3 linked regions of the Kluyveromyces lactis genome follow. The protein of the gene in region 3 interacts with the protein of the main gene of each other region in a biochemical or structural test. Links are inferred from orthologs where the notes say so. Each region holds a gene or a part of one and is shown on either strand. Other genes may lie near its edges. The genes, in order: RAD54, RDH54 and RAD51.

Region 1 (4,198 bases), on a different chromosome or scaffold from region 3:
GGGTATAATTGTCGCTAATTGCTCAATTCGTAAGTATTAGGTATAATGGCACATTCTACCCCTCTGTTTTCCCGAACCCAAAAAATTGCACCACACAGAAACCAAGTACCGGATTACTACGTAGTTGATTGTAGCTAACAAAAACTCCAACGGTGGGGCAAGATAAAGCTCTGTTCCATCTGGCCAAAAATTCGTAACCACAGTCGTCACTCTAACTAGAAACAAATCGGTTGGCACCAAAAACTGGTTCCCCGTTAGATTAGAATGGAAAAACTTTTTGAGAATCTTGCCTCCACTACAACGCTTTCTAGCTCTAAATCGGAGAAACTGTCTTTTTTTTTTTTTTCAAAAAGAACGAAAAATGAACATAATAGAGAAGTCCTTCCAGTTTTCTACGCCTGGCAATGTAAATACGAAGCTAAGGAGTTTGCTTGGAGTACCGAAATGGTACTCCCATCTGTTTTAACTCCCCCTTATGAGGAGAGAAACTTTAATGGAGATTCGATTAGCAGAAACATAAGAAGCTCCGACAATTTCCAGTTTTGAGACCCTAAGTAGTTAGAATATTATGTGAGCGTGTTTTTCTTTGATATCTATCAAGATTTCTTTTTTACTCCTCACCACCTCTCTATTTACATTGAAAGTTTTGCCGAAGGAATCCGAATCTGTCTCCAATAAAGGAACAAACCCCCTTTCCCCTCCTCTTTAAAAAAAAAAGTTTGTAAGTGATTTAACAACCGAGCACTATTATCAAAGATGTAATTGAGAGAATCGGAGGTACATGTCCGTTGGCTCCTAATAGTTGTCAAGAGTTGGCGTGTTGGGAAATTATCGCTACCCACATGGGGTTGTTGGAGACGTATGCGAGATTATACTAAGAACGCTGGAGGTTACCCTTTTCGGAGTTTTTGGGAGTTTAATGTGATTTTGTATCAGGTGACTGACTTCTTTTTCTTTTTTTTCGGAGTGGTCTGAATACAATGTCTTGCCTAGCAACAAAATGATATCGAAGGAAAACTGGGTGAGGGGCTCCGAAATTTGTGGAAGTGCGCTCGTTCCTTGAGGCTTGTCCATCATTAATGTGGTAGGGTAACTTCAATGGAATTTACGATTTCGGAGGTAATCTTTTGTTTTGGTTAACGTTCACGTGAATGTCAGGGTAATGCTTTCTTGTATTTTTCCTTTTCAGCAATGTTTACGTTTTTGATTTTTTGCCACCACGCGTTTTCGTGTTTGCCTCAACTGAAATCTCATCATCATCTTTATTTACAAAACATAAAATACATTACTAAAATGATTAACATGGTGAATGATTATAATGCCCTAGTCTTACTTTAATGTACACACTTAACACCAGGGGATATACCATCGTTTCATTTACCGAAAGACTATGGCACGCCGGAGGTTACCAGACAGACCGCCAAACGGGATCGGTGCTGGAGCTCGTCCAAATTTGAGACCAAGAAGGTTGGACACTAACCAAGCACTGGAAACGTTAACGAAACCTTTCAAAGTTCCGTTTAAAGTTAATAAAACCGACCATGCCAAACGATATGGAGTGAGATCTTCAAGAAGATCTCAAACGACTTATGCAAATATGGATTCTTCCTTAGATTCTGATTTGCACGTTAAAAGGAAAGATGCACTATCTTTATCCAGATTGAATGCAGAGCCATCAAGACTGGATACAATATATTCAACATTAAGACGGTCATTTACCGTACCGATCAAGGGGTACGTTCCAAGGCACAATATTCCGATGGCTTTGGGAACCAAGGCAAAAGTTGTTATACCACCAAGACCGTTGCATGATCCGACAGACGAGCTTGCCATCGTTCTTTATGATCCTACAGTGGACGGTGATATCCCTGAGCAGCATGAAGATTTGGAATCGTTTAGACAAAATGCAGTAGACACTAAGAAGTCTCAAAAGGGGAAGGATTCAGAGTCGCAAGACCAGAAAGCAAAGGAATCTTCGCCCAATTCTGCTCCATCAATTCATCACCCTAAAATGCTATCCAACGGTGTGAAGAATAAAACCCTAAAAGAGCTATTAGGATCTTCTGAAGATAATACATCAAAAAAGTTCCCCAACGTACCAGTTGTGATTGATCCCAAATTGGCTAAGATTTTAAGACCGCATCAAGTTGAGGGTGTTAGATTTTTGTATAGATGTGTTACTGGTTTAGTCATGAAAGACTTTTTGGATGCCAAAACAGTGTTGGACTCAAGCTCTCAATCAATGGAAAAAGCTGATACACAAGCTGATTCTAACATAACAGGTTCGAAATCACCGGTTGAAACTGATGTCTCGTCCCTTAAAGACGTTATTAAAATCAATGAAAATTCTAGAAACAGGGGAGCCTATGGGTGTATTATGGCAGATGAAATGGGATTGGGTAAGACATTACAATGCTTAGCGTTAATGTGGACCATGTTGAAACAAGGTCCGCAAGGTAGGAGATCAATTGATAAATGTATTATTGTGTGTCCATCATCTTTAGTCAACAATTGGGCAAATGAAATTGACAAATGGTTGGGACCAGGTTCTCTTTCTTCATTGGCTATTGACGGTAAAAAGTCCAGTCTAAATAATGGAAATGTGGCGGATTCAGTGAGTCATTGGGCTTCAGCTCAAGGTAGAAATATCGTCAAACCTGTCCTCATCATTTCTTATGACACTTTAAGGCGTAATGTCGAACAGTTAAAGAACTGTGAGGTTGGACTAATGTTAGCAGATGAGGGGCATCGTTTGAAGAATGCAGATTCCTTAACATTCACGGCATTGGATTCCATTAGGTGTCCGAGAAGAGTTATTCTATCGGGAACTCCGATTCAAAATGATTTATCGGAGTATTTTGCATTATTAAATTTCTCAAATCCCGGATTGTTGGGTTCCAGAAATGACTTTAGGAAAAACTTCGAATTACCGATTTTACAGAGTAGAGATTCATTGGCTACAGATGAAGAGGTCACTTTGGGTAAGGATAGGTTGAGACAACTTTCAAACATTGTCTCGAAGTTCATTATCAGGCGTACCAACAATATTTTGGCAAAATATCTACCTTGCAAATACGAGCATGTTATATTCATAAATTTAACACCATTTCAGCAATCTCTATATCAGCATTTCATTGAATCAAGAGCTGTTAAGAAGATCGTTAAAGGGGATAGTAACCAACCGTTGAAGGCAATCGGTTTGTTAAAAAAATTATGTAACCATCCAGACTTATTAGAGCTATCTGAAGACATTCCGGGTTCAGAAGAGTTAATACCCGACGATTATCAATCTTCTGTTGACTCCCGCACTTCAAGAAATAGAAGCGTTATTCAGACAGCTTTTTCCAGTAAGTTTTCGGTCTTGGCAAGATTTTTGTACAAAATTAAAACGGAGTCTAACGACAAGATTGTGTTGATTTCAAACTATACCCAGACGCTAGACTTGATTGAAAAAATGTGTTTTAGTAACCACTATGGCGTATTGAGATTGGATGGTACCATGAACATCAATAAAAGACAAAAGTTAGTGGACCGGTTCAATGATCCGGAGGGACAAGAGTTTATATTTTTGTTAAGTTCCAAGGCCGGTGGTTGCGGTATAAACTTGATTGGTGCCAACAGATTGATTTTATTAGATCCAGATTGGAACCCGGCTGCAGATCAACAAGCTTTGGCTAGAGTTTGGAGAGATGGGCAAAAGAAAGATTGTTTTATCTACAGATTCATTAGTACTGGTACCATTGAAGAGAAGATTTTCCAAAGACAATCGATGAAGATGAGTTTGAGTTCATGTGTTGTGGATGAAAAGGAGGATGTTGAACGATTGTTCAGTTCGGATAATTTGAAGCAATTGTTCAAACTTGATACAAAAACCATATGTGATACCCATGAGACATATAATTGTAAACGCTGTAAGAATGGAAAGCAAATTTTGAAAGCTCCGGTAATGCTATACGGTGACGCGACTTCGTGGAATCATTTGAATCACGATGCATTAGCAAAAACAAACGACCATCTCTTGAAAAATGAATTCAATCACAAAGACATCAGTTTTGCATTTCAATATATATCGCATTGATCTTTCATTTTTTTAAAGTACATTTTAATTTCACTACTATATAGACGCATTAATAAATTCGGTTTCTGGGCGGTTCGGAACAGATAACTCGGTTAATATGAAGAGGCAACTCAAGTTTTC
Region 2 (4,228 bases), on a different chromosome or scaffold from region 3:
GCCGCATCCTCTAACGTTCAAATAAATTTGAACTCTTTAACTGATGATCAACGGATGAGATTGATGAGAGAGCAGCGAGCTCGTGCAGCTGAAGCGAGAATGAAAAGATTTTCTGGTAACTAGATGCAAGTATAAATAGTAACATATATAACTTTTACACGGAGTCTTTTACCAAAGCATAAGTGATGTACTGTCGTGCATCATCAAAGACGTTATTCATAGCTTCGTCAATTAAGTCATTAGTCTTTTGTGGATCAATATGTTTGTATCCCAATAGGCATTTTCTCATGATTTCTGACTTTGTTCCATTTCGAAGTATCTCCTCCTTCTCTATAATTTTTTGGGCTTCTAGAGCATTGATCCAAATTGAAGCAGGAGGATTGTTTGATGGAGTCGCAGCAGCCTGGTATTCTGGCTGGGCGTTGGCTTCATCAGTACCCGTTATCTCTTCTTCTTCAAGCACTTCTACTTCACCAGAACAATTACAAATTAAGTCGTGGGTATTGGATAAAGTGGACAAATTAATGGTAAACAAGTCCTTCAACTCTTCCTGCTGAAAAAGATCATCATCATTTTTTGATTGATCTGTGGCACTGTCCAAGAACTTTTTAGAAAGCGCTATTTTCATTAACTGTCTTTGAAGTATCTTCTCATCAATACATCCGGTTGTCACAAGTCTATAAATGAAACATGGCCTTCTCTGACCATCGCGATGAATTCTTGACATGGCCTGTAAATCAATGGATGGGTTCCAATCATTATCGAATAATACAAGTCTTGATGCACCGATTAAGTTTAGTCCCACACCGCCTGACTTCGCACTTAAAAGGAAAACAAAAATAGATGGATCATTATTGAAGGATGTCACAATCTGATCACGGGTTTTGGTTGCTGTACTTCCATCTAATCGTGCAGAAGTGTACCCTTCTGAACTACAATGTCCCTCAATGATGTCTAGGGTTTGCGTGTAATTTGAAATCACTACTACTTTCTCGTCAGTCTTGGTTTTCAACTCATGTAATAATGAAAGAAGTATTCTAAGTTTCCCCGAGGTGAATTTTCCAGAGGTACTAGAAGTCTGAACTTGACTAAGCCTTTCTTCATAGTATGGATCTGTTTTGATCAAGCGGGTGGAATTGCAGATTTTTTTGAATAGAGTAATCAACCCCAATGAAGAGTTGAATGTCATGTTGCTGAAATTTAGCTGCCCTTCGGTTAAAATCTTGTGAAAAGCCTCTACTTGTTCAGCGGTAGGTTTGCAAAATATAATGAGATCAGTTCTCGGTGGTAAATATTGTTGTAAAATTTCATTGGTTCTTCTTAAGATAAACCGTTTCGTTATCTCAATTAATTGATCGGATCTCAGAAGTCCTTGTTCTACCAGAGTTTGATTTTGTTTAGCATTGACATCCCTGGATCTGGCGATAGGTAAAATATATTCCCTTTTAAACCTTCCGAAAGATCCTAAAATCCCAGGATTGATAAAATCAATTATTGTATAGAACTCTTCAAGATCATTTTGAATAGGTGTCCCACTCAATACAATTTTCTTCTCAATATCTAATGATTGCAAAACCTTCAAGATCTTAGAATCTTTATTCTTCAATCTATGTCCTTCATCACAGATAACAAGATCAAGGTTTCTCTTCTCATTCTGTAGTTCATCCTTGATACTGAGGAGTTTTTCATAACCAACAATCAAAACCTGATAAGTTCGGGGAACTTTTAGGAAGCTTCTCACTTGAGCCTTATCCTCTGTTGGAGAGTTCCTACTGTGTAAGGTCAACACTCCAATTCTATTCATAGGCAACCATTTTTTGAACTCCTTCTTCCAATTACCGATTAAAGTGACAGGACATACAATGAGGACCTTCGATATCTCTCCAGCGAGAGTTACTCCTCTCTGGTTTATTATAGTCGGATAAGGTGTTTGTTTCAAGAGTGTCCAAATTAGCGTAATTGTCATCAACGTCTTTCCGAGCCCCATCTCATCTGCTAGTAAACATCCTTTTATGTCATCATCTCTCTCGAGAATCATGCTTTCGTCACCTTTTGTATGTACCATGTTCATTACGCAGTCATAGAGAAATTTGACACCTTCGCGCTGGTGTGGTCTTAGTGTCTTCGACAATAGCGGGTCAACAATAACACTCACTTTATGATTCTCCGTTTTGTTCATGATCAATGGATCTTTAATGGAAACTGGATCAAACAACGGCGAATAAGTTATCTGCCCAATTAGTTCTTGACTCAGCGGTGGTAGAGCAGATTTGACAGTTGGTTGATCTACTAGTTGTTTCTGTGCTGGAGGCACTTTAGGCTCTCCGTTTAGGTGTTTTCTCAGGGGTTTGAATTTGGTCGTTATTTTCGGTATGAATGTCTGTATTGGTGGCTTACTTTCTATGGTTGCTTTATGCTTCTTGGCGACTGGAATATCCGTTATTCCAAGTGTATGACTGACTTTGATTTTACATATGTCTTGCACAGAGCTTAATTCTTCTTGATCGCTTATTCTATAATCGATTTGAAACTCGGTAGATCCGATTCTCCATATGGTCTCATATAAATCCCTATCCTTGATTGGAACTGATCCTAAAGAGACACCAGCTTCGTTGTAAAACTTCAATTTATCGTCGCTTGTCATATTGGCGTATCCATCACCATCCCACGTCTTGTTCTTCTTATTTGTAACCCTTCTGTAATTTGCTGTAAATAAAGAAACCTCCTGTGATGACTTAGACACACCAACTGGTGCATTTACGCTGGTTTTCAAACTTTTTGGGCCGGCATACGTTAGTTTCACAGTTTCAGAGCTGGTATTGGTAATTTTAGTATGTGAATGATGAGACTTTGGCCGAAGGCCGGTGTGTATCTGCTCAGAAAGGGTATCTCTTCCAGGTCTACCTACCATGCGTGGACGTTTGAAAGGTTTATTGACATAATGATTCATTTATTTGTACTTTGTCGCTCTTTTCCACTGAAGTAAATGCTTTGATACCAGATGGGGAGCGTACTATTGCCTGTGTTATGCGATGTGATGTATGTTGTTTACGTTTAAGATCTATATTGACATTATGCATATTAAAACGCGAATCTTGACGTGAGCGCTATGAGGGTAACAGTAACAACTCATATTTGCGTCTGCTCCCTTGGTTAAAGATCTTTGTAATAGCAATGACAGGAGTTGATACAAAAGGCCTCAATGGTGGGTAAGCTTCTCTACCCGTTAACATGCATTACTTCTCTTTCTACAAACTCATCCCCAACATATCACCAATCAAAGGACCAATACGATTCTGAATCTCAAAACAATAAGAAATTGGTTCCTTGGCCCAGTTGGTTAAGGCACCGTGCTAATAACGCGGGGATCAGCGGTTCGATCCCGCTAGGAACCATTCTTTTTTGGTTTTTTTTACTCCTTCTTGTTCTACGGTATTTCCCGTTAGTTGACAATGCTTTAGTTCAAAGTTCAATCATTAATATCTCTGTCCAAATAACCTGGTTGTACTGCCAATTGACCGGAGACATTATGTTACTCTTACGTATCTTTTCCTGTATCTGTTCTATATGTGAACCCCATACCCTGGAAGCCAACATTTCAAATTTGAAAAATGCGTAATATTGCAATATGTAACCCAGTTCACTAAAACATTGATACATGGAGATTGAAGACAAACAATTCAACAATAGCTAACTACTTATAATGTCTGAAAGTGAGGAGTACCACATTTCTGAAGCCGTTGATAATGTTGAAGAAAGTGGCTTTCAATTGGCCGAAGAAACCAAAATCTTGCGTGATACATTGGATCTATTGTTGAACAAATCGATAGAACAACGAAGGATTTGTGAAGAATTAAAACAGGAGAATAAATATTTACAGGACTATATTGACAATATGATGGAAATGGGTGATGTGTTGAATAAATGATTGCTGCTTTTCGAATCTTTCCCTTGGCATTAATCTCTTCTTCAATTTTCAAAGCTGCTGTCATCCGTCGACACCACAGAAGATAAAAGCTAATCATCATGTATGGTAATTTTTGTGTGCAACTTCCATGATGCTTTCTTAAAGTCTATATGGATAGCGTTCATTCAGGACCCCAAACAATAGATCTAAGTGCCTATTATATCGATCATGAGTGTTGCTTTAAATGAAAATGCAGGACCATACTCGGCTGCGGCAACGCAATTCGAGAAAGTCATTAAAGTTTTAAAACCTCCATCATTG
Region 3 (3,036 bases):
ACAGAGTGCCTAGTGACAAGTCTAATATATCGGTAGCACGCTTCTCCGCTCTGTCCCTCCTGTTTCTTGCCAGAATATGTTCTCTCGCAAACCTTTGTTTTACAAAGTTAACGTGTTTTATATAGAAATGCAAAATTACTCTTTCTTGTCTATATGTGGAAATGGTGAAATTTCCAAAAATTTCGCTTCAGATTGTTGACGTTCGGAATTCCGGTGTGATGAGGTAAAGAATATTAAAAGAAGTCAAGCCTATTAATAGCACACTGACATGGAGAAGTGTTTGTAGCTATGATATGCAAGTCCCTTAAATGAAAGGATAGTCGTCCCTTTTCGCTGAGGGAATTATATGCGTTTTATGCGAGCATTTAACAACTAGAGAGGGTTTGCATGAATATACATATAGAATAACGTGCCCTATGGACTATTTATAACACGAATGATATGAACAAATAAATGAGAAGATAGATACGCAGTGGGGTTTTACTAGCAACGTAGGAAATTGAATGCTATATTAAAAATGTGGATTTTTCTTTTTATTCTTTTTTTTTTGGTGTTATGAATAACCAGGTAAAGAGAATCAGATCAATCATCGTCTTCCCTTGGATCTCCGATACCATCCTCGTAGATCGCAAACACACATTCTGCTTCAGGCAAACATGGTGAGTCTACCACTTTACAGTATCTCTGTGGACCTTTCCCCTTCTTGAATCCAAGACGAGTAGTGGAGGAATGAGCCATGATATTACCACCAATCGGTTTTTTTGGATCAGGGTTAAACATCATTCCTCCGTCAACTTGGGCCACAACCTGATTTGTCACTACCGCTGCGACACCAAACTGATCAGCTAGTCTTTGTAATGATCTCATGAACTTGGCAAGGTGCATCTGTCTTGCACTTAACTCACCACGTCCCGAGAAGTCGGTTCTGTACAATGCCATAATAGAATCGACAATAATCAGCGAAAATCTTGACTCACTCATCATCTGTGCAGCTGCGTCCAACAATTTCAATTGATGGTCTGCGTTATAAGCTCTTGCATATGCAACGTTATTTAAAGCATCGTCAGGGTCCAAACCGAACCTCTGCGCAATCGAAACCAACCTAATCGGTCTGAATGTACCCTCCGTATCAATGTACAAACACTTGCCTTCACCGCCTCCCATATCCAAAGGTATCTGGCATGTGACAGCCAATGTATGGCAAAGTTGCGATTTACCAGTTCTAAACTCACCAAACAGTTCAGTGATAGATCCGGTTTCTATCCCTCCGCCAAGTAGAGTATCAAGATTTTTCGATCCAGTAGTTAAACAGATCATTTCGTTTCTACGCAAATGAAAATCAGCCGCAGTGACAAAACCCATAGGCACTAGTCTCGACGCTTCAGCGAGTAACTTATCAGCTTTAGCCTCTGATATACCTTTAATCTCCATTAAATCTTTTCTGGGGGCATATGCCACCGCCTCCGCTGTGTGTAACCCACTTTCTCTTAGTTTCTTGATATCACCAGAAGTGATACCGTTCACCTGCAATTTCTCTATTGGGACAAAGGCGGCTAGAGCCACATCGTCTTCTTCAGCCATAAAATCCGTTTCCTGAATTCTTTGCTGAACATCTTCCATCTGTTCTTCGGTTCGTGAGACCATCAACTGAGAATGGCCCTGAGTAGTCTGAACTTCTTCCACCTGTGACATTTCTAATTCTGTGGAGTCAATTTAGCCTGGTTCAAGCGACCTTATAACCACTACAATACCCTTTCACAACTAGGATAGAAAACTGCTTCTCCCAAGAAAAGTGAACGTAATTGATTAATGATGTCTCATGTAATGTAATTAATAATTAAATTATATAGCCTTTTTCGTGTTTTGGTGTTTTGTTTTTTTTATTCAAATTTCAAACCAAAACAAATTAAAATGGTAAACAGTCCCTGAAGAGTGTTTATTTACATGGCACGTGACTCTTCAGTCACATGTCATATTGCGGTGGGTGGTGGATCAAGAAAGATTATCTCATCATGGTCCTCCCCATCATGACCATCACCGGAACTGAGTTCGAAAGGTTTAAGTGTAACACATGCAGTGCATTGCTTGTTCTGTCTTCCATCTTTTCTACATAGTACTGATAAATATAAAGTAGTGAGCCATATATGTTTGTAGAAAGCCATATTACTTGCAGTGTTATCATGTACAATAGATGTTGATCTTTGTCTCACTGCGTCTTTCCTTAGCGGCTTTTCTTAGCGGCTTTACTTTTATATCAGAATTAGGCAATAATATGAAAAGAAATATCGAAATTGTTGCCAAAATGAAATCTTAAAAGGAATTTTAAAATGGCCAACCGTTACATCAGGCACTATTAAACAGCGATAGATTTGATCGCCAAGTTCTCAAGAACGTCTTATTAATAAGTTCAGCCTTTCTGTCTCGGATATTTTTTTGTGGGGGAATCCTTGAATTCTTCGCTGACCGCTTGAACCTTGGCTTCTACCTTGGATAGAGAAGAATTGAAAGGTGTTTTGCGTATGTCAAAGGGCTTTAAGCAGAGGATTATACATAGTGTAGGGATAGAATCACATACAGAAAATTGCCATAATTGCCATCGATGGGTGCGTTTATAACTCCTAATAAGAACCAGAATCATAACAGATTGATGGTAGGCAATGAACAGTCCGATCCACCAATAGTGGAATCTCCGAAGATGACGAATATCCATGCGTTTATTAACGATGCAGATCTACAAACGGCTGACCAGATGCTGAAACAGACTTACCGGCCCTTGGAATATACACAGTATGCGAATTGGTTAGGTGCAAAGGAGAATAAGCGCGTACTAACGGAATTTTTGAACCTTTTGAGACCTTGGCCGACTTCGTTGTATCTTACTCTATCAAAGCTATCCCATGGTCTTTATTTGATCGCAGAAGCTACTCCGCTAGACAATATTTTAGAAGAACTTGCTGCTCAATGGACCGATGAACATAAGGACAAGGTCTCACACTTTCAGGGGAACTATAGGGTCTGTCACATCATTTTGTTCTC

Evidence for each region.
Region 1: the proteins of RAD51 (region 3) and RAD54 form a complex in vitro, tested with the Saccharomyces cerevisiae proteins (13 studies listed by BioGRID, with this or other methods). The link is inferred for Kluyveromyces lactis from reciprocal best matches to the Saccharomyces cerevisiae genes RAD51 and RAD54.
Region 2: the proteins of RAD51 (region 3) and RDH54 form a complex in vitro, tested with the Saccharomyces cerevisiae proteins (2 studies listed by BioGRID). The link is inferred for Kluyveromyces lactis from reciprocal best matches to the Saccharomyces cerevisiae genes RAD51 and RDH54.

Annotation. Positions count from the first base shown.
Region 1 is NC_006037.1:271,396-275,593, reverse strand, and holds RAD54 (DNA-dependent ATPase RAD54), read left to right. Parts: upstream 1-1,390; coding exon 1,391-4,078; downstream 4,079-4,198. UniProt on the Saccharomyces cerevisiae protein: Plays an essential role in homologous recombination (HR) which is a major pathway for repairing DNA double-strand breaks (DSBs), single-stranded DNA (ssDNA) gaps, and stalled or collapsed replication forks.
Region 2 is NC_006042.1:1,089,545-1,093,772, forward strand, and holds RDH54 (DNA-dependent ATPase RDH54), read right to left. Parts: upstream 2,951-4,228; coding exon 155-2,950; downstream 1-154. Other genes in the region: VMS1 (Vms1p), read left to right, coding at 1-123; ISC10 (Isc10p), read left to right, coding at 4,136-4,228. UniProt on the Saccharomyces cerevisiae protein: Involved in the recombinational repair of double-strand breaks (DSB) in DNA during mitosis and meiosis. Has DNA dependent ATPase activity. Promotes D-loop (displacement loop) formation with RAD51 recombinase.
Region 3 is NC_006041.1:1,797,987-1,801,022, reverse strand, and holds RAD51 (recombinase RAD51), read right to left. Parts: upstream 1,693-3,036; coding exon 583-1,692; downstream 1-582. Other genes in the region: Arf family guanine nucleotide exchange factor YEL1, read left to right, coding at 2,600-3,036. UniProt on the Saccharomyces cerevisiae protein: Required both for recombination and for the repair of DNA damage caused by X-rays. Its function may be modulated by interaction with other repair proteins. RAD52 interacts directly with RAD51, via its C-terminus.